3 linked regions of the Drosophila melanogaster genome follow. The protein of the gene in region 2 interacts with the protein of the main gene of each other region in a pairwise test. Each region holds a gene or a part of one and is shown on either strand. Other genes may lie near its edges.

Region 1 (8,855 bases), about 12 Mb from region 2:
CAAAGGCAAGGATTGAATCAAATAAATAAACGCGCAAGGTTCTCGTCATGGAGCGCGGCTCACTGGGTCGGTTATTAGGTGGCCAGGGGGACAGGGAGCCACCACCGAGTGGATTTATATGGGATTCGATTGAACGGGTTGAGCTCCGACCGGGGTGGGTTCGGGCATGGGCCTGGGGGTAACCTTACCACGTCCACATCCACGTCCATGTCAAGTTTGCATGCGGCTGCAGGTAATTCCCCATTTCACCCGCCTTTACATAATCACAACAAATGAACGAGGAAAGGCGACGGATGGCGAATCTATTAGCATAAGGGCGCATAAAACGGCGCCGGATCCGGCTGGATTCCATCGAGGATTCGCACTCGTCGACTCAGTTGCAGTGGAGCCGTGGAGCCGCGATGAACGTTTGGAAAGCAAAGGTCCTAACGGAGGTCCCATTCGGACACGTCCTCATCGTCAGTGGGCGCGTCAAGCCTCATCCGAATAAGTAATCATCTTTCATAGTTTGGATACCCGGTTCTCCACTAAAAGAATACCGCTTTGATCTGGGTTAAAGTCAAAGGTCAAATGTAGAAGCTGATTTTCTAACCAAATGAAATTAACCAAATGAAATAAACCAATTAGTTCAAAAAGTAAAAAGAGATTAAGTATAAATGGTATTCGAATTATCCGATTATTGACAAAACAATGCAGTTCTAATGCCAACGAAAGGCTTATAAAGCTGTGACAGAGATTTGCAGAAATGAAATGGGTATCCTTAGCGAGTTTGGGGGAGTGCCGAGTATCCTCCCAATCCATATCTAATACTTTTTACTAATGACACCTCTCGAATTACGGACAGAATTTCGCTGGACCTCACGGACAATGTGAACGCGCAGAACGAGAGCGAAACGGTGTTCCTGAAGATCGAGGCCAATTTCCGCGAGGGCCAAATCATCCGCAGCATGTTCCAGCCGGGCGGGGGATGGCAGCAGGAGGAGATCTCGAAGAACTGGAAGTGCGACGGCCCAAAGAACCCGCTGCAGCCTGGCCAGAGCTTCACCTTCCGGGTGGCGGTGCTGCAGCGATGCTTCGAGATCTACGTGAACGACCAGCTGTACGGGTCCTTCGAGTTCGTCAAGTTCCCCAAGCAAATCAACTACGTGCGCACCTACGGCGACTTCGAGAAGATCACCCAGTTCCACCACCGCATGCTCTTTCCGCTCGTCTTCCCCAGAACGCTCATGTGTCCGGACAAGGTGGCCTTCCAGAGCGACGTGCCCAGGCGGTATGAAACCGGCACAGTGGTGGCCATGGAGTGCATCGCCAAGGGCCCGCCGACCACGGAGTTCTCCATCTGCTTCCAGTGCAACGACACCGGGCGTACGGTGCTCCGGTTCCACGTGAACTTCGATCGGACAACCGTGTCACGCAGCTACCAGCGTGAAGACAACAGGTATAAAGGAGTCCGAGACTCCAATATGCAAAGTTCCTCCAAGAGAATTCACCTTTACTCACTTATTCTAGTTTTGCCTTGAGCGACGAGGAGACCGAGGGCGAATTCCCATTTGTGCGCGGAAAGCTCTTCAAGATCGCTTTTGGGCTCGGGGATCGGGCTTTCCTGATCGCCGTCAACGGGCAGTACTTCACCTACTACAACTTTCCCGGACGCCCCTTCTCCATATCCACTCTGAAGTGCTTCACCAACGAAGTGGGCGACTTCGCCGTGCGGAGCCTGGAGTACCACTCCGATTCTCCGCTTCTGGCCCGCGTGGAGAAGTTGTCCATCATTTAATCGATTCGAGTTCTCGTAGTATGCTCTTTGTTCAATCGTTGGCTTTGATCACCGTACAGCACCAGTTAACTTCTTCTTGTGAGCATCCAAATAAAGCAAAGCAGCTCTCCAAACTACAATCTCCTCAATAATCATCAACCAATAGGCAGGTTCCTTTGGATATAATTTTATTAAAACAAATTATTGCCGTCGCCTCCCCTTTTCGCCTGGATGAGCATCAGCTTAAGCATCCGCCTCAGCAGGAGCCACGTGCTGCTCAACAGCTCCCGTCTGGAGCTCCACTTAGGTTAGTCTTAAGGTTAGTTCTGGTTTGCACACTCCTGCGAGCGAGTGCAAGGTATTGGAGCCAATCCGATCGCTAGTGACCAGGACTAGCATCCTAGACGGAACTGCTGATGTCTGTCTCTCTATAACGCTAGATCCTCACTACGGAATATGTGTATATGTATATGGTGATCGCATCTCGATCCTAGAAGTAGCGGAACTCGCCCTTCTTGCCCAGATGCTTGCTGCGCATCATGTCGGTGGGATCCGGCGATCGCTGTTCCATGCCGGGATTATCCTGGGTAATGTAGAGCGGTTAGCAAGTCCCATCATGAATTGAGTGACCAGCCTTACTCACCCCTGATCGCGATTTGTTGCCCGGACCTGTGGGACCCGTCGGTGGCTGCTGCTGTTGCCCGTAGAACTGGGCTCCATCTCCATCCCCGAAATTGAAGGGGGTTACAATCGTGTGCGGCACGTGGGCCACCTGACCCCGCATGTTGCGCGCCTTCCACCACTTTCGGGTATCATCAAGGATCTAAAGTTTCGAAGAGATGGTTATAGGACAGAACGAAGGATGGTAACGTGGGTGCTGGCCTTACCTCCAAGTATTCGCCTCGCATCACGCTAAGCTCCTTGTCGTTGTTGGCGGTTCGCGGATAGGTGACCAGCACAATCTTAGCGCCCGTCGCCTGCAGATCCTCCAGCCAGGACTCGAGCATCTGGTCGTCGCTGACATTCGGCAGGCCTCTGCCTCCACCGCCCAACTCCGACGAAGGCCCCGGACCAGCTCCTGCTCCGTACCCGTTTCCACTGCGAGATTCCCTCGTATGCAGATTCTGCAGACCAGCTGTGATGGCGCTAAGGGTTGGTCCAGCTCCTGGTCCGTGGCCATGACCATGGCCATGTCCCGCTGCTCCGCCGCCCCTGCCTTCGATCGAGTCGAACGACAGCTCGCTGCGGGCGTTAAAGTCAGACGCACTGATTGCGCCCGCCCGCTCTCTGTCGCGCTCCCTTTCCCGCTCCCTTAAACCGTCGTTGCCGTGGTGGATGGTGTACTTCTCGATACCCATGGCCATGTTCATCCCGTTCCCCGAGTCGTAGTCATCGTATCCGCCTCCCCCACGACCATTTAGTCCGGATCCAGCCTGGACCTCGAGTCTGCGCTTGCTCACATGAGCGGGCGGGGAATTTGGTGGTGGCTCCAGTTCATCGTTGATCAAATAGTCCGGTGACCAGCCATCGAGGAAGACCGGATGGTAGGATCCAACGTCATCCTTCCACTGATCTCGCGGGATCACCCAGGCATCGCCCAACGAGCGCCACAGCTCCGTTTCCTTGCTGGTTACACAGTTGATGAGCAGGTTGATGGCCTCTCTGGTCAGCAGGGGATTAACCACACGGGCCGGTAGCTGTGACTCGTAGTACGTGTCGCTGGAGGCCTCCACAATCAGAGCCAGCGGCGTGAAGAGGAAATGCACCAGTTCGGGAGCGTTGGGATCGTGGATGTGCGCCTTCAACTTTGCCAGCAGGTTAAATGACAGCTTAAACTTGGCAAAGATGTCCACGAACTCCTTCTCGTGGGGAGGCCGTGTCCTCAAAGTGAGCAATCCCTCCCCCGGATCCCTTTTCTTCGACTTCCGATTGCGACGACGGCGCTCGAGCTCCCGGGAAGCGGCGGCGGCGTGCTGAAGACGAGCTATGAACTTCTCGATGTCATCGAAACAGTGATTCAGCACAGCCACATCCCGCTCGTACTTCTCGCTGGACGTGGAGCTAGTCTCATCGCGCTCCGTTGCGCCACCGCCCCCAATCCCACCGTGTTCCGAATCCGTCTCGCCACTAATGTGGGCAACGTCATCGCCAGAAACTCCTACTCCGGCACGGATTCCATACTGTTCCATGCTGCTCCTTTGGTGCATGTGATGGTGGCTTTCGCGCTCACGGTCTCGATCACGCTCCCTCTCGCGCTCTGCCCGCTGCTCCCTGTGCTGGTGCAGCTCCACTCTACTATGCGACGAGGACGAGGAGGTTTTGCTCATCATCATGGCCATGCTGGAGGCTCCTCCGCCTCCTGATTGAGTGGGTGTGGCACCGCGCTGCTGCGTTATCATCTTGCCGCTTCTCAGCTGCTTCAGATCCTCAACCAGGTGAACGGCGGACACACTTTGTGACTGCAGGGATAAATCATTTGAATGAAACTGTCATGAGACAGAAGCCTCACTAATTCTCACCTGGAATATGTGCATCTCGGAGCGAGAACCACCGCCTCCGGATACGATAAAGACCAGAATGTTGTTGTATAGCTCCATGGCGTCATTCGAGGTGAATGCGGTGGGCTCCTGAACCAAGGAGGCGGGGAATCTTTCGATTATGTTCTGTAAGGCAAGGATGAAGATGAGTTCCATAAGGATCTTTCCCAGTTTGTGAAACGTACCCCTGTTTCATAGTCCATAATTAGCACCCACTGATAGTCCAGGCAGAGCTGCATCTTCTGCGACCAAATACCCGTGGTCTTCTCCAGCTGAAGGAGGCGACGCATTCCGTCCGCCGGATACACAATGCCGGACTCCTTGTTGACCGTGAAGGTGGCCAGGTGTTCCAGCAGGTAGGTGGGCTTGTCGTGCAAGTCACTCTCCAGACGCTCCCGCTCCTCGCCGCCTCCGCTGCGATCGTCTCCGGAATAGTCTCCTCCTCCGCCGCCGCCTCCATGGGCACCGCCTCCTCTTAGGCTTCCGCTACTGTTTCCAGCACTGCCGCCTCCGTTCGAGTGGTGGTTCACCATGGTGTCTCCCAATCCCGGTACAGGCTTCGATCGACGTCTGAAGCTCCGTCTAAAAATAAAATTTTTTCACATCATCATCATCGTCAACAATTTTGTATATCGGTCTTTGATTCGTTTAAAATATAAGTTACCGTTTAAATGATGAACTTAGTAGCTTAAACATTGATTAAAAGTTTTGATCGTTACCAACTTATACTTTTGCTTCTTAGGTCGAGTTGAACTATCGTCATTTGAAAATAATATTTAGAATTATGTGTATGCTTTTAATAATCCCATTTAATCGCTTATTCCAATGACTAAAACATTATATCGTGACTGCTGTCGAAAAACATGTTTAACTTGATTAGAATAGTATTCCCAAAACTAAATTTCCTATTGGCAGGGGTGTGGTTAAGCCCCTTGGAAGTCTGGTTCCCAATTTGGTCTCTCAAGACCTTAAAGCCTCCGCTGACCGAGTCTTCGAGCTGAAATCTTATGAGTGTCGAATACGAAAATTGGTCCTAAAGTATGTGTTAGATCATTATGCTGTGTTTATTTTGTGCAGCTGAGACTAAGTCCCTCTGCATCCGAAGGCCCCTAATCCCGCCAAGCCACTTGGATATTGCGCAGCCAATCGTCTCTGACTCAGACCGCATTCCGATTCCAAGCCTCCACTAGCGTTGGCATACACACTCCAAGCGATCCGCACATGGCCGCAATTATTCTCAAACTTTAACATTTCGTTGTTGGCTTGGATCAGCATTGGAATTCAAAAATCGCGCTACTTCCACTTCCCCAGGTTCTCCTCTAAGCTCGGTGTCTCCACTTTGACTACACAGAGAATATCTTTGGATAGTTTACTTCCGATTATATTCATCTTATTTGTATTAACAGCAGCAAATTGTATTGCATTGTAGATGTAATAGAGAGTAATTGTAGAGTAATAGCTCTTATCTTCAAAAATTAGGCCAACTATGGTTCTATGTCACAGTAACATTCTTTTCAACACTCGGATAAATCTCTCTTATTTTTTCTGTGTAGCCAGTGAACACACCTGCAAAAGACACACACACACACGTAAAACTGAGATTTGCAAACACACTTTCTCGCTCCCTCTCGCTCTAACCCTCGCAGACTCTATCCAAACCGCTCCCTCGACTCAAGTGACAGCAACAACTTTTCCGCTGTTTTAGGCTGGGCTCAGACGCCGACTGCGACGCGGGCAGCGGTGTCGCATACCTATCTACACTAAGCAAAAATCGCTACTGTTTTTATAAAGATATTGAAAATCATTATAATAATCCTATGGCGAGAAAGTCTCTAGAATGTAGTTCTAACCATTTTTAAATGTTAACAACATTTTCCATGATAGAAACACCCCCAAGTTTGTCGATTGTTTTCAGTGTATCAATCCAGCAGTGTCGCAGGGTCAATGGACAGGGGAAAGGGGGTGTTGGGTGCTTGTGTACTTGCAAACAGGTGAAAGAGAAACTGCAGAGGGGGTCAGCTGGAGGCACTATCTGCTTACGATCTTGTACAAGCCAAAATCGCAGTAAACAAACAAGCGAAGTGCACGTAAAAAAGAAAACACTGACCCACTACACCCCTGGAAATGTTTTGTTTTCGTTAAGTTGCGCCGCTGTGTTATATTTCAGCGTTTTACTGTTCGTACAAGCCCCAAATTGCATCACACTTGTGGAATTTGACAGATTTGTGTTTTCGCTCCTAACTCTACAGCAGCTTAGAGGCCAATGACGAAACGCGATAAACATTATCGCACTTGGGTAACATGGAAATAGTTGGGCTTGCATAAATCATGCTTTAGAGAAAGTACTAAAGCTGCTGGGTGATTTGAAGTTAAGTTAAGTCATCATAAACATCTACAAAAACATTATGCTAAATGAAATACATATATGTTTATAATATAAGTATTACTACTTTTGTACTTCTATAATCTTGAAATATTTGCAATCCACACATATGTATCTATGCATCTGTAAATAGGGGAAAATTATAAGCCTCGGTAAGGCAATCTAAGATACATAACTGCACTGGTATCTAAGAACTCCCCGACAAGAACCATAAACCTGGAGACATGCCCCAAGCATAGCTTCCATTCAGGTGAAGATAATTAATTGGGTCCTGATAAGCGTGAGATGGGGTGTTAGAGCCTCAAATAATTCAGACAGCTGGGATTTAGATAAAACGGCGGCGTGCGGTACACTTGCTTTTTTATTTTATCTCGCATACTTTTTGGTTTACGAAGCAAATGGCAAAACAACAAATGACAATAGTTGTTTTTGCTGTTCTTTGGGTGGAAACCCGCTCGTTAGATGGTGGTGGGCTGGAGGGGGGTGGAGAGACATCGACACCCCGATCCACACTATTGTCGTCCCCCTCGCGCGCATGCGTGGCAGATAAGCTGACGTCTTTGCTTGCGCTGGTGTGTGCGGCTTGAAAAGGTATTTGTCTCCGTGTCTCGAGCCCCCCGGCACCCGCCACCCCCTCGCCTGTTGCTGCAACTTTAGTTTTTGACCGACCGCATTTTTTAAGCTTTCTTTTCCACCTGTTTTCCGTTTTCCTCTCTCACTGTGCGCTGTTTATATTCCACGAGCCTCTCTCAGACACACACACACACGTCGCCTATAAGCCGCACTCACACAGGTGAGGCTTCACAGTAATGTGCGAGCGCGGATATACAGTGGACCCTCAAATAAGTAATCTAATTGAAAATAACATCCTTGAAGCTCTTTAGGCAATTATTTAAATTAATAATCTAACCAATTTCAAATGATTGAACTTAGTATATGTTCCAGATTTCCCGCAATCGAGTATTACTTCACCGACGCATTACTGTATGTACAAAAGTGGGAGCGGCGGCAGGTTTCGTATTGATTTTCAATGCTTTGTTCAATTCATTCACTAATTCACAGACACAGGCTCAATTCGCTGTATGTATTATTCTAATTGACCGCATTTTCCGGTGAAATGTGTGATATTCATATGTATGTGTATACACTCCCTTCGCACACACACGCACAACACACAGGTATCGATATCACGTTAGCATTTCGATATCATCCTCTCACCTAGCAGCACATTCTTTTTCTAATTAGCACGAATAATCCAAGTCTCTGTCACGTTTGCTTGGCATTTCAACTGGCTTTCGGGCTTATTTTCGGGTTTAGCTTCGGTTTTAGGCGTTACAACTGCGATCACTCGAGCATTGTTTCAATTTTAATTCAAACATTAAAAGTAACTGTAGTCCAGCACTTAATCCTCTCTTCTTCTTCCACCTCCTTATTACCTGTCTTCGCCGTTCTCTCCGTCCTTTTCTGGCAGCCGCCGCCTTTGGTCTAGTGCTTTCTCGCTCCTCTTTGATTTTTATTTTTAAGACGGCTTTCTTTCGCTCCGTTCTTTTTGATTCTCACAGACCGTTTTTCTATTTTCTATTTTTCTGTCGCTTGCGGAAAATAAACGTACGAATAACAATAGCCCCGCGACGCCAATGTTGTTGTTGCCGTGGCTTTTCAGATACTGTTTTTGTTGTTATTGTGGAACGCACGCGAGCGTCATCCGCTGTTTAAGCGCGGTTAGTACATGTCAGTCCGGTACCAGAAATCGTACTAACTTGGCTCATTCGCTGGCCTTTTGAGTTGTTTGTATATATTTGTATTAAGCCACTTGTTGAGAGAGTGCGACAGAGAGAGAGAGGGAGAGAAAGAGATCTCTCTCTACACTAGCGGGCACCGCAATAGAATCAAAATTATTGTATAAGTATTTAATTTAATTTTATTACAAGTATAAGGTATTCAGCATGTTATATGCTGAATTAGCATTATGTATCCATTGCATTTTTGGAGATTGGCTTTTAAAAACAACTAGAATTAATACGAGTTCGTCCCCACAAACTTTTCATCCCATTAGTAAACCTTAAGATTTCTATTTACACGTTGCTCAGAAAATCAATTTTTATTGAATAGGTCCTACTACTAATTAAAACTAGGAAAACTATCAGCTGCTCCTCGCCTTCTTGTTGGCCTTGATCAG
Region 2 (6,044 bases):
AGATTCGGCAGCCAAAAGTCCGTGGACCGGTTGTAGTCAGTTCTTGCCGACTACCCAAAAGATCATACAGTTCAGTGATGGAAAGTCACCGAATCCCGGCGATAAGATTGTAAGTTTAGCCCTCATTATATGTATATAATGTATAATTCATAATTGTCGGTATTTGCAGGTTTATGTGGCTGGCGCCTTCGATCTCTTCCATGTGGGTCACCTGGACTTTCTGGAAAAGGCTAAGAAACTGGGTGACTATCTGATTGTTGGCCTGCACACAGATCCCGTGGTGAACTCCTACAAGGGCAGCAACTATCCCATTATGAATCTGCACGAGCGCGTGCTCAGTGTTTTGGCCTGCAAGGTAGGATTGCAATAGATTCTTTTTTTTAAATATTATCTCATTTTAAAACTTCTTTTTTCCCCCAGTTTGTCAATGAGGTAGTAATCGGAGCTCCCTACTGTGTCACTGAAGAGCTGCTTGAGCACTTCAAAATCGATGTTGTCTGTCATGGACGCACACCCATTGCGCTTGAGAATGGCAAGATCGATCCATATGCCGTTCCCAAGACGCGAGCCATCTTTGAGCTGATCGATTCCGGCAACGAGATGACCACGGAGCGCATCGTGGAGCGCATCATCTCGCACCGACTGGAATATGAGCGTCGCAATCAGGCCAAAGAAAAGAAGGAAATCGAAGCCTTTGAGGCACTTCAACGCCAAAAACAGACCCAAAAGGCCGGCTAGCCGGAACCAGATTCCGACCTCTCACACTAGACGGATGTTTTTTATTTTCTAGTTGCGTTCTTTTAGTTTGTTTTATTTAGTTTGTCTTGTTTAGTATGTCGTCCCCTGATGATGGCGCTTTAATTTTTTGTTGCGTAAAAAGCGAAGCGACGCTGCCTGAGGATTCAGCGCACCGCTCTCTCGATTTCTAGTACAATTTTAGAATATCTGCACATGCGCCTTAATGATATAAGGTTATACACATAATTATATATTTCTAACACATTAACGTAGAATATTTAAAATCTAAATTTTATGTATGTAAGCTCAAAATTTGTAAATTCCCTTTAAAGTACGATGTAAGTGTGAGGAACAACAAAATTGTACGAATAGCATGTTATCCAAACTGTTGCCGAATTGAAAAGCCTTGTACGACTTGTATGTATATATATTCAGCAACGGAAGTAGGATGCCTGGATCAGGAAGTAGCTGCTTTTATCAAATGTAATCTCTGATACTTTGTCCTAATTTATTAATGCATATAGTAAGTGCGAGTTCAAGTTTTATGTTTCCTTGTTTAATCTTAGACTTAAATACATGGCCAAAAATATTGCGAATTCCAAAAAAAAAAAAAACCGGAAGTTTTATATACTTGCCTCGCTAATCACTTTCAGTTCGACGGTTAGCGATTGCTGCCAAACATCTAAATCCATTAGTGGCCGGAGGTCATTCAAGCTGATGAGGATCACGTTGCTGTCGGTCTTGATGAACTCACTGCAGGATTGGTTCGACGACAGTGGCAGCATTGGACGAGCTTTTATCTGTCTGGTGTAGTAACGTGGCAGGTTGGCAGGTTGGACCAGCAGGCGCAGAGTGATGGCCACGCCGTGCAAAGGAGTAGCCACCCAGATGGCCAGGACTTCGTGTTTGACACGCTTCCTTTCCCACAGCACCGAGTGCATGGTGCGGCAGGCGAAGATCATAAGGGCGCTATGCTGCGAGAAGCGGCGGTACTCCACTGGCAGATGGGTGTTTCGGTGACATTTCAGAGGATTAAGGCCAGTGCGCCGATAGCCATAGACCCCCAGCAGGGTGTTGACATCTCTTTCCAGGCTACTAATATGACATGTTAGTGACACTCGCTTGCCCATTTCCAGTTCATAAAACGGAACTCCCATTCCCGGCAGATGGTCACTCAAATAGTGACCCAACAGAGCGCTGGGGTCAACCGAGCATAGGCATCCGTGACATGGGCATGCCACCAGGCGCAGTCGGCTCCACGGCGAATCGCTAGATGTGGTCGCAGTGCTCTTCCTGCTGCTGGACGGCTGCTCGGTCAGCGATTCGAAGTTCTGCAGTTTGAGGAGCAGCTGATCCTCGGGAGCTGGCGCGGCCACCGATGCCGGCAGTCTGTAGTTGGAAAAGTGTTTCGTGTACAGCAAATCTTGCATTTCCTGCAGGCGCTGCTTTCGCCTCTCCTGACGCTTTCGATTCCGGCTCAATCCATGGATGGGAGATTGATCTTTGCCGGAATCGGCGGCCTGGTTGGTACGCGAGGTAAATGGCGCAGTCATTGTGGTAGGTAATCAGGCTTGCCAAAACGACATAATTTTGATAAGAAACTAGACAGATAGACAGATACTAGCAACTTTTGAAAGTCTACTGTGTTGACAAGTAGATCCTTTTGATTTTATAATAGTTAAATATTTATTATTCAGTTGGGCCGAAATCCCGGCGGTACTGCAATACCGGGCCAACCCGCGACAGAGGTGGAGCAAGCCCCTAGCACTCCGTCTGATTCCAAAAATCAGTTTAACATTTGTTGTCCTCCAATGGAGGAACTATCAGATGTTAAGCTGATAAGAACAGATACTACACTTTGATCTTAGCCATAAGGCCGAGAAGCGATAACTTGAAACGGAAAACGAAAAGGGTCTCCATGAGCAAACGGCCAGAAGCAGTTGGGAATTGTAGCACACACAAGAATGAATTCGGGGTAGGTCAGGGATGATAGAACGTAGAGTACGGTAAAAGTGGGTCAGGTAAATAAAATCAAACGATTTACTAAAAATGCTTTTTAGAATTCGATGATAATATAAGATTAATTCAAGTAAGCTACACATTTTTCATTTAAAGGCATCACTTAAAACTTTATTATTACATTCCTTTCACTTAAAGTGCGTGGGTTAAAACACTTAGAACTGTGTAAATAAATATTTTTATATATTAGTAACGTTTTAAAATACATAATTTACTACCAGAAATAAGGCGAGGTATATTTCTTCTTGACTGGATCTCCTTTGTCCATCTATCTCCTGGAGGTCTTAGAGAGGTAGGGCTGGATATGAATTGAAATCCTGGCAAAGACTAAAATTTCAATGGCATGGGGTTTACGGTGGATTCGCAGCTGTGTATGGTGGGAAATGCCATATTATAAAACATTAATATATTATATTGAGATATCAACACCAGTAATGGGTTCTTTAGTACTGATATTCTTTATTCTAACACTGCCGTACTTCTCCTTTAGGTACTTTTGCACATTGGTATTGTACTTGCTTCGGGGATTAACTTCTGCTTTTTTCGCTGATGGACCGAAAGTTTCATTAATATTTTTTAAGGCAGTAGGTTGAGTGGAAGGCAAAAGGTCCGGTTGGAGTTCATCGATTTGTCCCTTCTTTCTTGAGCAGCCTGTTGATTGCAAGGAACTCTGCCGGGAATCCTTATCGAGCTCATCTAAGTAGGAGAAAAACAAGAATAAGTTAAAATTTGAGCACTAATTTTATTTGGCATTTTATTGCCTTTCTGTTTGAGCTCTTCCTTTTCCCGGTCACCAGCTATATTTGAATAGAGCTCCCGATTCCGCGATGAAATGGATTCCGCCTGATTGTCTAGATTTTCAGTATATGTGTTGCTGTTTAATCTCACGTCTTTATAATTTCTCGTGTGCATATACTCGCTGCCATTCGAATTGGATGTTTTAAATAAAGTGTAATTTTTATTTGATGGTTCATTGATAGCACTTAATGGATCCAGCACTATTTTACTTTCCCTTATAACTCCAGAACTTAGGGCGCTGATGGCGGTGGCTTCTTCACTGCCAGGTGACTGAACGGGCAAACTAGTGGGTTGCAAATAAGTGTGCTGGCCGGGATGGAACTGCTTGAATCTCTTAAATATTAGGCATGTTACCAACGAAAATAGAATCGACATGCTGAGAAAACCCATGGCTATAAGGCAGACTATTGCAAAGAAGTTGCTGTCGATGAGGGAAATCCTTTCCATATCCTTTTGCACCACCACACTTATGTGAACCGAATCCTTGCCACCGGGATTTTCCGCCAGACAGGTATAGACGCCCTCATCGCTCTTACGGGCATTAACTATCGTTAGACGTGACACAAAAACATCATGTCCGAATTTTCGAATCTTTGATTCATCCTCACGCAACAGTTCTATGTAGATGCGCTGCTTTTGCAGACTTTTCACCGGCTTGGAGCGGGATTCGTATACTTGATTGGTGTAATCCCAGGCAATAACCGTATTGGGAGATCCGTGGACGCGACATATAAGCGTTACGTTCTCCTTGGAAGTGTTGATGGAAGTACTGAGTGTTGGATACACAATCTTCGGCTTGCAGGCAAACGCCTCCGGCTGATCCTCGATCCACAGACGACCACGTAACTGCAAAGGATAATGGCAGGATGTGGGCGGTGTATACAGGTTCATGCCTATAACGAAGTCACGAAACATCTGAAGATCGCATGTGCAGTTCCAAGGATTCTCGACCAGCGATAATGCTGTGAGCTTAGTCAAGTCCTGGAAACTCTCCACTCTCAGTTTGGTCAGCTCATTGTTGTCCAGATAGATCTGCGAGAGAAGTGGTACTCCCACAAAGGCCTTGGCATCGATGCTAACCAAGCGATTGCGCTTAAGTTCGATCTTGTGCAGATACTTGAGATTACGAAAGACTCCATGGCGAAGTGCTTGCAACAGGTTGCCATTCAGGAATATCGCCCGCACTTTCGAAAGACAGTCGAACACATTGGGTAGCAGGTCGACAAGTAGATTATTGGACAAGTCGAGCTCTATTAGGATCTGCAGTTGGGTGAAACTTCGCTGATTCAGGTACTTCAGGGTGCCATTTCGGATGAGTAACTTTTGAAGATTTTGCAAGTGGGTCGTGAGGAATGCGTTCTCCTCCAGGTAGAATATATGATTGTGTGACAAATCCAGCACTTGAACCTCCGGACTGAGGTACTCTGGGACTCCACTCAGACTCAAATTGCGACAGTCGGCCGTCTTCTTGCCAGAGTTCCATTTGCAGTGACAGTTTCCACAGTCCAATAGCCAATCGGCACTGGCACTTCGGAATATGAGTGCCAAGCAGTATATCTTAAATAGGAATAGCGACAGGTGCTTTAAGGAAATACTACATGGATCGAAGCTAAGCTTGATGGCCATTGAGATTTTTCTAAGGAACGGAAGGTCTAGCACATCCCAGTTAGTCTGGGTTATTGTTTGATGCACATTTGATTGTTTTTGCTTAATTTTCGCTCATGTCCAGTGTCCGTCATTAAATCGTTGTTCGCCTAGCATTATAATCCTGAAAGCCATGCTGTAAAGTAAAAAGAAAAGGTATTTCATTAGTTTATTCTCATTTAAATGTAAATAAATATTTGAAACTGCCTTTCTCTTCGATGATATATGTATGTAGGCTGACAAGAAGTTCCCATTACCTGCCCCAAGGGAACTGCCACTTCAAGGCCACTTTTCCCGTTTTCTCTTTAACAGTATGGCATTAAACATTGAAAAATTGCGTGTACGGCTGTCTGACACTGGCCGTGGGAAAATGCTGCACTTTGTTGGCTTACCAGATTTAGAAAAACAATATAAATTTACTATCGCGCCACGCCTTAAGCTCGTTTCGAAAATGTTCTTCCAGAGACCTCGGCGTATATTCATCAACTGTTTTTCTATTTTGGTACTGCCCCACTTACCAGAGTGTTAACAGTATTTCGGCGCATGTCAAGTAGATTTTCTGCTTTCCTTTTTCTTTTATGTAAATTAACATTAGTATTTTGTTGTTTTACCGAATATTATATTTAAATTAAATGTTACTGCTTTTGAATTATTCGCATTAAATTATATGTATTTGCTTTATTCATTGTTACACATCTGATATATCCAACATAACCATTTTTACATTAACTTATAGACAGCTACTGAAAAAAATAAGATAAATAATTTAAACAAATTTGACACGTTTCCATATTATATTGCTTTTATGCCGCATAAAATATTTATATTTGTCAAACAACATATGT
Region 3 (10,046 bases), on a different chromosome or scaffold from region 2:
TGCATATGAGTTTTATGAGAGCTTCTTTTGACTGGTCCTGGTTGCTTCGTCCTTTCGGGCACATCCTTTTGACTGCGACAAATCCGTTAAGTCGCGCATTTCGCTCATTATTATTTGTGCAGGGAATTTGGCTCTGACCTCGCCCCATCCCCAAAAAAAACACTGAGAGTGGTAAGTGTAATCAAATTGCAACCCGAATCCGAATGCGAATGCGAATCCGAATCTCGGTGAAAATCTAGACAGAATCGAACGAACAGGAACTTGACGGCGTTTTTATTATTAAATTTGAGGCCATCGCGCACACAATGCGATATCCTGCAGCGCGGACGAGCGCTGTGCGAAATTATTAAAAAGTAATTATGGCACAAATTACGAGATATCAATATAGCATTTAGCTCTGCATGCGGCCTCGAATGAAAGGACTTGGTCTGGTTCCTCTGTGCAGCCACCACCACTTGAATACGCTGCGAATCCTTCGGCTTCGACACATCCAGCCCATAGAGCTGCATTTCCTACACGGCTGTCTGGCACAATGCGATAGATTCCTTCTGGATTCCCATTGTTCTCCGGCTCCTTGGTCTACTTGGTCTCCTGCTCCTTGTCCTGCTCTTCACATGTTATGCAACATTTCCTGCGCTCGGCAATTTTGACATAATATCGAGATTATTATACGATTTGAACTCTGGCCCCTTCTTCGATTGTCGGGGTAGGTCGTCGAATATCCTCGATATTCGGCCCAAGATCGCTTTCATTTGACTCTGGCAAAAAGGAAAGGTCGAGTCGAGTTTTGTACACAATCAATTGTAGCATTTGAGCGATTCATAATGGATCTTTGTAGGGTCATAAGCCCTACTTAAGGTACAAACTTTTTGCGATTAATTTGCCGCGCGGCGGGTAGATCGGTGTATGTATGTATGTTGTGGAAAATTATAAAAGTCCTTCCCGTTAACGGAAGTTAACCGGGAGATTAATTTTGGCATTGAAAATGAAAATATGTGAAGAAGGCTAGAAAATTTGAAAGACCTGTTTACAAGGAATGTACAAAAGAAACGACACATCCTATGTTTTGTGTGATAACTTAAGATCACTTGACGTAAGATCTTTATAGTGAAATAATTCATTTCTTTGATCAACAATCTATCTTACTTTTTAGCATATCTTCAAACCAGCCATAAAACGCAACAAGTATCTTTTCATATCGTTTATTTCTCGACAGTTTAAACTTAGTGGATAGACTACCAAAATGTTCGCTCGAAGATCGCTTACAGATACATAATTCTTTAGGCATTACAACTACGTTAACTTTGGCAATCGACAAAGCTGCAAATATCTTACAGTGCGTGGGCTATGTGACCATGAATAAAACTAGATATCTACAAGTATGCGTGTATCTATATATGTACATAACGAATCCAAATATCACGGAACAGCGTTCAGTCCTCGCCCTTGGTGACCACGGAGACGGGTGTGGAGGCGTTGCTGCTGGCACCTGCCGCGCTGTTCGGCGATTGGGCGGCCGTCGAGATCAGTCCGCCCGTTAGCAGTCCGCCGCCTCCGTTGCCGCCCGCTGGGGGCGTGGCATGCGGCGGTGTGGGATGAGGCACTAGCTTGGGACTCTCGCGCGGACTGCTGTTGCTGCACGGCGGGCTAACTTGGCTCATCGCAGAGAGTCCTGCGTGCAGCGATAGATTCTGCGGATAGCCGGCCGATGCTGCCGCCGCTGCTGCAGCTGCTCCCGCGCCAAAGATCCCATTCAGATTGCTCAGGCCCATGTACTGGGAGAGCAGGGTGTGGAAGTTGGGCAGCTTGTAGTGGGGCGCCATCAGGTGCTGGGGCAGCAAGCCGGCGGCAGCGGCTGCAGCGGGATTAAAGTGCTGGTGGAGGGCAAAGTGCGGGGGCCAGAACTCCGACTGCATCGAGCCCGGATGACCCGGAAGTCCATGTGGCGGCAGGGGAATGCCCAGCGGAAACTCCGGCAGACCTGCAAGCGGAAGGCAAAAGGGCGATTTCGTTAGTCGAAAGTCAGAGAGAGCGGGTGGTGGCGGTGGTTATGGTGGTGAGACAAGCGACACAAGCGACATAATTCCTAATTATGTTGCACACGTAATTTGGCAATTTGCGGACAAATCAAATGCGTATCGCTGGTTGGGTGGGTGATGGCTGGGATTTGATGGGGTGGATTCGTGAGATGGGGGTGGTTAACTCACCTTGTTCGGGCAGAAGGTAACCGGCCTTGTCCTGATTCATAAACTTCTCACGTTTGCGCCATTTAGCCCGACGGTTCTGGAACCACACCTGCAAGTGCACGAAAAAGAAGGGAGTTTAGAGATGGAGTTGTAGGTATGCAAATTTTGGGTGCCCTCGGATTTAAGGCTATTATAAGCTAAAGGGGTAATAAAAAACATAAAATTATCTGATATATCATTTACCGAAGAGAGGATATGCCTTTTTCTGACTTATGTATACAACCTGTATACTTTTCAAAAACCAGCATACTTTTCTAAAGGGTATCTATCCCTCGATCTAAACTTGATTAGTTCTACAAAACTAGCGCCTTGGCAAGCGACTTGTAATTGCTTTGACTTTGACCAAAAACCGAACAATTTCCCAATCTATCAATCTGTGTGCTCGCAAAGTTGGAAGCACTTGGTCCTTGGATGGCTCCTTCTGCCGCCTCCAGCCTCGAGTGTCTGAGCCAAAGGACTTGGACGCCGTGGAGGGTTAGGTCAAATACAATGGCATCCAATCGGAAGTGTTCTGCTCTGATTTGCAACGCTCTCTGTCTGTCGCTACCCGTCTCGCTCGTCGGACAAAAGGGTGTCTTATGCATTTTTCGACACTTGCTTGGGTTTGGGGTGGACCAAACTCGCAGCCACCCAAATTCACCCCTATGCAAATGTGCCCCCTAGGCCATCCACAAAATAGGCGTTGGCTGCACATACATTTCCGCCTTTTGGGGGCGACGAATTTTCAGTCCGAGCCGAGGCTCTCGTTTTTGATGGCAAAATTAATTGTTTGTAAATTGAAATCACTTGACAACTGTCTGTAACGCTCGTTGATGAATTCGAGACAATAGAGAAGGCTCTGCAATTATAGACACCCTGTATTTAGATGTAACCCCCTTCTACGGCCACCCACAATCTGCAACAATGTGTGCAGTTGAGCGAGTAGTAAATTAGCAACGATTTCCTTGCTATAATTGCTGCCAATTATTGTCCTGTGTCCTGTGTGTGTCTCTGCTGAGAAAACGCCACCCACCACCCCCAACCCCTTCACAGCATAAGTGCTGTGTGTGTGTGCGATTTTGTGGGCTTTTTAATTGTCAGTTGGCAGCAATTATTATGGCAACAACTTAAACCACTGTGCCAGAGCAGCCAGGCAGTAAAAGTTGAATTGCGGATATCCGTTCAGCATTTATCACACATGTGCGATCAAAACGAGAGAAGAAACTGTCGCAAAAACTGGAAGAGGCGGTTTGTAAACTCAAAAAAAAAATGTGTACTTTAAAAAATTGTATAAGAATTCGTTATTTTGGATTTTCAAATGTGAAAGTTCTTTGCATATATTCCAATTAAAAAGACTGCATAAAGCGTTCAAAAACGCTTTGTTTCAACAATTTCCAGATTGATACAAATTCGCTTTCAATATTTTTTTCGCTTTTTTCGATACCCCAACTCGACAATAAAAATTTGACTTAACCCGGCAGATAAGTCGCTGGTTACTCCTTTTTTTTTCACCAAATGCCCCACACAACGAGCATGCAAATCCGAAAATAATTGCTCACTTACCAACCCCAAAACAAGCGGGGATTACGCTTTGGATACTTTTGTATCTATCAGCAGCTCAGCAAAAAAAATAACACATGTATTAAAATCGGGCAGCTCTAAGTCGGTTACTATTCAAGTACCCGAAACGCTCTGCATATGCGAATCAATGACCAATTACAGTTAATCTGCTAACAGATACGAATAAGTGCAAGGACGCGCAGGATGAGAATGCGGATGTGAGGATGTGAGCATGCGGATGACGACCGTGAAACGGACAATTTGTATTCGAAGCGGGTAATCCCTATGTGAGTGCTTAGGTCAAGTTGTTTCACATTCACATTCTCTTCACTTCTTGTTTTTTTTCACTTTTTGTGCCAGGCCATACTTTTCCCTGCTTTTTTATTCCCTGTCAACAAACAGCATCGAAATTGAGCGAATCGCTCAATCAGATGTGAAGTGTTTGAAAGCGTTTCACAACTGAAATCAAATCGTATGCGATTCGGGGCGAAAGGACACCCTAATTACATGTGTAGTCGGGTATATTTGGCCGCGTGTCCTGCCGCCAGTCAGCACCCAAAGCCACTTTAATTGTTTACCCGAAAGTAGAGTTAATAAAAATACCAACACCATGTGAGCGCGGACGATTTAATCATTTGGAAAATCACAATATCTAATGTCCTTGGTGCCAACCCTCTATAGAGAAAAAGGGACGCGTATTCACCCGTATTCAACCCTCCTCCGACTAACGAACTAAGCGTGTTTGTATACAAAGTGGGGCTTAAGTGTTTCAAAGACCATTTACAAATTGGGTTCGGCGATTGTTTTGCCCGTTCTTATCTAGCCATTCAAGTTCCCAGACTCTGAAAGTGGTTTATTCGCTTATTAGCGGACACTGCGATGGCAATATTTAAAGCCCATAGCCGTTAGATGAAAATACAGATACATTTTGAGCGAGTTGAACTGCAACTTAATTCGAAAATAATTGTGCGAATCGAAAACCAATTTCAATTACCTGCACGCGTGCTTCGCTCAAATCCAATCGCATGGCCAGATCCTCCCTTGTGAAAACATCGGGATACTGGGTCTTCTCGAAGGCTCGCTCCAGCTGATGCAATTGAAATGTTGTAAATGTTGTGCGAGATCTGTGAAAAATCGAAAGGAACGGCAAGGGCGGCACGTTAGATACGTCGGATAAGAGTTTGCCCCCCTCCTCTTTGTTGGCATGTTTTTTAATAGCCCGACAATGGGTAAATACGATTTGATCTGCTAAGCGGATTGTCGCTGCACTCACCTTCGAACTTTACGCGGCCTCTCCATATCGCTGAGATCATGGCCATTGTTCAGACTGGAGGACAGCTCGTCGTCGTTATCCACGTCCAGGCCGCCGTCCGTATTCGTTGGGGAGTCCTCTCGTTTGGCCTGAACCTGCAATTGTTGCTGCTGCTGCTGCTGCTGCGAATGGTGTTGCTGTTGCGAGTGCTGCTGCTGCTGCTGATGCGACAAGTGATTGCTGCCGTTGCTATTGCTGCTGTGCAAATGATGGATGTGATGCGGATGGCCGTGGTGGGGATGCGTAATCAGCACTTCGCTGGGTGTATCTGCGATAAAAAACAAAAAGTGGCAGGGAAATAAAGTTAAACAATTTCGAATTGAACTCGAGTGTGTGGGGAAACAAAAAGTTTCGCGTTTGACTTTTAAAATCGAAAGCCAAACGGCAGCTGCAGAAATTGAAGTTCATTCAATTGTGGCTGAAGTAGTTATATCCTCAATTTTAACCCCCTTTTTTTTGTACGGTCTCAGTCTCGAATAAAATTCAAATCCTTCAAGTGCTCGAAAGCTACGCAAATTGATTTGGCAATCAATAACAAATAAATATAAAGCCGGAATAAGTTTTAACCCCAATACCACGGCAGCGAGCATATAAATATCCTTTCACACGAAACGATTTGGTGAGTACTCAAAACGGTTTCTTTTCGAGCCAAGGCAAAACGTGTAATCAAACTTTAATGAACCTCAAATTAATCGGATTCACAATGGCACCAGGACACGTCCCCGCTCAGCAGGACGCCCGTGTCCTGGTTGTATCCTTATCGTATTTCGTAACATTTACGCAGACCCATGTGGCAAGAAGGTAATTTCCAGCGAGCATCAAATTACGAGGCTCACAGGATGCAGTGTCCTGCGGTGCGCACGCCGCTCGTTGTCGCCAAATTGCAACCTGGACCAATGGGTGCCGTGATTCCACTGAATCCAGCCCAGGCAATTTCCAGCCTCCACCTCTCCCGAGGACTTCAATCTAATTACGGGTCTAATGACGCAATTGCCCGTTCCCGCTCTCCATGCGATATATCCGGCCAGATATGTTTTGATACAGTGTTTTTTTTTTTCTTCTCAAGTAGATCCTTGGGCGAACTGCCTCCTGCAGCTTGGCCACGCCCACAACAAGAGTTCCGACATGCCGAACAACTCCCATTGTCATGATATGTTTTCTTTTTGCTCTCTGGGTGGAGTTCGAGGTCGGTGTTTGTCGGAAAGTTTTGAACTGCCCTCATTCACCTTTCCCAACTATGATAAAATGTCCCTTGCGAGCAATTTGCATATGATATGGATGGCAATGTCAATCTGCCTCTCCACTGCTCCGGCTCCTTTGCGAAAGGATCTATTTGATGTGGTCAGTGGAGTAGGAGGACGGTTCGGATTTTGGAGCACCAAATTTGGGGGGGGAGCCCATTGGCTGTGCATGAAGTCTAACGTGATATTTTGCCCTGCTGGTGGTAAGTTGTAACGCATTCAGGATGTTTTCATTATGTTTAAGATGTGTGTGAGAAATATTTCAAAGCTGTAATTAACAAGCTAGACTAACTAAATAGGTCGTAATCAATTCAAATTATACATTCAAATTTAGAATTTTTAATTCGTTTACGCCTGCCCATAGCTATTCACAAATTAATTTTGATATTGGATTTTTTAAATCAAACTAAGCTAAACAATTTATTAAGATTCTCTAAGAAAATGCAATTATTGTATCTTGATTATGTTTCCTTTTAAGCTTTTTGTGTGATGTACTAAGAAACTCTAACGCAGATCGCCGACGGCAAACGATGAATTTTTGTAAAAAGGATCCCCTTACATTTACATTCCAGTAAGTTATCCCCAGTTTATATTTGTTAAACTAAAACTCACCACTGCGCTTGATCTGGTGCTGATTGCCCAGGATCTGATCGATGCTGTAGACGGCGCGGGGGCGTGAGACAGGACTCTCCTGAACGGGGGCGGGGCGCATGGCTGGCGGCATGATTGGATGGTGCTGATGGTGCTGCGAGGTCGTCGTGGTCATCATAGCTCCACCAAAAGAGCAACTCGCGATCCGTACGGATTTCTATTGGTTTACTTCACTTGCTACAAGTTGGTTTTTTCTTATTTTGTTAGCGATTTTCCAGATTTTCGTTTTTGGCAACTTTTGTTTAATGTCACAATATTTGTTGAGCACGCTTTGAAAATTAGCTTAATTAATTGCTATTATCGGGTAAATTTGTCGATTAAACGATGCGATTTCGATACGGAATACGGAACAGCCACTGCGACGAACTGCAATGAGCTGAATCGAATCGAGTGAATAACTGCGAGTGAGTAGTGCTCGTGACGATCAACAACCACCGACTGAGTGCGATTCCTGCCGCCCGTAGGTTTAAATACGTTGCCTGTTTTTCGCTAGCAAGTGAAATGGGCGAGGCTCGCTCGCTCGCTCTCGAATCCGAATCGGAATCACAGTTCCCAATCCTTCGCTTTCGCCCATGTCCTGCCATGCCAGCCGTCTCTTTCGTTCGCACACGCTCGCTCTCTCCCTCTCTCTCCTGCTGTAGGGGTAGTTTCCCCCAGTATCTCAGTATCTCAGTGCCGTGTATCTGTGTGTTGGGTTGGCTCGCTCGGTGTGTGTGAGTTTGGGTTGCAGGTAGCTTTTGGTTTTGGCTTAGGGGTGTTGGCCTCCTCCACTCTCTCTCTCTCTCTGTCTCTCTTTTCAAATCTCTCTGGTACTTTTCCTTGACACCTTTCTCTTTCCTACCCATTTAATGCACTCTCTTTCGGTAGTTGTAACTAACATGGTTTGCTCATTAATTGTGTTTATTTCACAAATTTCGCTTGTTAAAAACTATTTCACCCTTCCCCCTCTTCCTTTATATATATCTCACTCTCTCTCACAGTAGTTTCCTCTCCCTCCCGTTTCCCGGCTCATCCACAAATCACAAAACAGGTTGAACCACTCACGGGATTGCCAAACTGGTACCTGAATCAAGTCGGCCATTTGCCAGGTCCTCTTTTATTAGTTCCGCTTCCATTTCGGCGATAGATTTATGGCCAGGATCCCCGTGATCTTGAGAATGAGCCCGTGGTTTCATTGAACAAGCCAAACGATCAATGAATCCCTTTACTTAGCAAGGAACTGTGGCAGGATCGAAACCTAAGTTCATTGATTAAACTGATCTCATCTCGAAGGATTTCGGCCGCATTGAATTTCGTTAAAAGCAACAGGTACAGTGCGGAACTGATTTCACTAATGAGTATTCAAATCATTTTAATTAATAGCCAGTGCATAAATACATAATAATAATAATACATAAATAAATTTAATACATATATTTATCTAAATACTATGAAGATTTCCTACCAATCTTATATTTTCTGCATGTTTCCTTTTAATGATAAAAATGTAATATTTTAAGTAGCACCAACCAAAAAGGATCTAAAAATATGTAGGCCCTGGTTTTGCTACGATTAAATAACCGAAAATAGCTCAGCCTTGTTTAAATCACCCACTTAGATCTGGGATTTGCGTTGAGCTTCAGTTTAGACAGGGCTCTCTATCCAAGATTTAGTCCAGAACCCTGGTCCACCCACAGGTTGCATAACACAAAAGGATGCCAAAAATGGCCAAAAGTGGTTCCCGAAAAAAGAAAAACCATCTAATGCCCGAAGGATACATGGTGTGCTAAAACGCCGGCTACAATGATAACAAAGCAGGGACCGGGATTTATGGTCTCTAATTTGTCGAAACTTACACAATTCCTTTGTGCCCCGAACCCAAACAAAGCCAAGGATCGCGGCACCTTCAGCCGGGAAAATCGGGAAAAGTGCACACGTAATTTCCGCGAAAACTGTGAACAAGTAAGCGGGACAAAGCGTTGACCGGACTCATTAATGTGCCAGATGCATGACGCCACAGGACACGGGGACTCAACAGGACGCAGGATTAGGTTTAGTCTGCCGAGGCGCTTAATCATATTTTCATAGGACGCATTCCCTATGCAGATTTCATTCAGCAATCCGATTGCATGTTCGTTTAATTTAGAGCTGCAGAGGGCATCTCTCGAGACTTAGGATTGCGTTCCTGCCCAGATCATACAGCCTCGGAATCTCTAATCTAATGTGGAATGCATAGTGCTCGCCGGCCACCAAAATTTATGCAGCATCATCAGCGCACTTAGTCGTAATCGCCGGCTCATTAGGACTGCTAAACAGAAGAAAAAAGGGCTCCTTCCTCACTAATTGCCGATCCTCAATCCAGCCCAGGACATGCCCTTTTTTATCCAAGGGCAATCTGATTGCCCATTTTGGATTGAAGATACGAGGAATTAGTTCTTAAGTAGCTATAATTCGTTAGGTAATCTCTTATCAAATGGTTTATATTTTGATGGGTGATTGAGAAAGGCTAAATAGTAGTCTTGGAAAATCATCAGTACATATATTTTTATTAGGCAAATGCCTTACCCAACAATAGCACATTATAAATTTGATGCGCTTGAGTGTAAGTAATTGCGAATCAATATTGTCGCTTTACAGGACCTCTTCCTCCCATCCAAGCTCAACTTGTCTGTGCTCTTCAACACTTTCAATTAATTTAGCTGTAGGAGCCATTCTTACAACACCCCGCCCCATGCAACCGAAAGCCATTTAGGCCAAGTGTGAAATGACAAATTGAATCAAAGCCAAACTCAAACTCAAACTCATTGAAGACTGCACTTCATTGTAATTTCTAAATTAGCACATCTATTTGGGGCCGGAATGGGGGGCAGTCAGAAGATATCCTCCAGCTGCGAGTCCTCTCGCAGAATTCTCTCTGGTCGAGAGATTCTCTCGGGACATGCGCAACGCTGGTGAAAGCTCATTGGATGTCCCGGCATTTCACTCACACTCAGGGAATCGAAGCCAACGAGGTCATTATCGTGTTACCCCCTCCGCCAGCAGCCCATCCAACCATTCACCACACCCATGCCACCCACT

Evidence for each region.
Region 1: the proteins of CG15482 (region 2) and aru interact in a two-hybrid assay, tested with the Drosophila melanogaster proteins (one large-scale study listed by BioGRID).
Region 3: the proteins of CG15482 (region 2) and hbn interact in a two-hybrid assay, tested with the Drosophila melanogaster proteins (one large-scale study listed by BioGRID).

What each region holds. Positions count from the first base shown.
Region 1 is NT_033779.5:859,920-868,774, forward strand, and holds aru (arouser), read right to left. Parts: upstream 5,943-8,855; 5' UTR 5,908-5,942; intron 5,142-5,907; 5' UTR 4,990-5,141; coding exon 4,958-4,989; intron 4,876-4,957; coding exon 4,479-4,875; intron 4,420-4,478; coding exon 4,276-4,419; intron 4,216-4,275; coding exon 2,644-4,215; intron 2,580-2,643; coding exon 2,400-2,579; intron 2,340-2,399; coding exon 2,247-2,339; 3' UTR 1,930-2,246; downstream 1-1,929. Other genes in the region: CG13950 (uncharacterized protein), read left to right, coding at 402-490, 845-1,438, 1,510-1,777; dbe (dribble), read right to left, coding at 8,820-8,855.
Region 2 is NT_033779.5:13,209,491-13,215,534, forward strand, and holds CG15482 (uncharacterized protein), read right to left. Parts: upstream 2,325-6,044; 5' UTR 2,292-2,324; coding exon 1,362-2,291; 3' UTR 1,283-1,361; downstream 1-1,282. Other genes in the region: Pect (phosphoethanolamine cytidylyltransferase), read left to right, coding at 1-109, 170-355, 421-738; kek4 (kekkon 4), read right to left, coding at 3,167-3,453, 3,519-5,181.
Region 3 is NT_033778.4:20,953,481-20,963,526, forward strand, and holds hbn (homeobrain), read right to left. Parts: upstream 7,430-10,046; 5' UTR 7,108-7,429; coding exon 6,951-7,107; intron 5,366-6,950; coding exon 5,059-5,365; intron 4,910-5,058; coding exon 4,780-4,909; intron 2,296-4,779; coding exon 2,208-2,295; intron 1,982-2,207; coding exon 1,434-1,981; 3' UTR 1,188-1,433; downstream 1-1,187.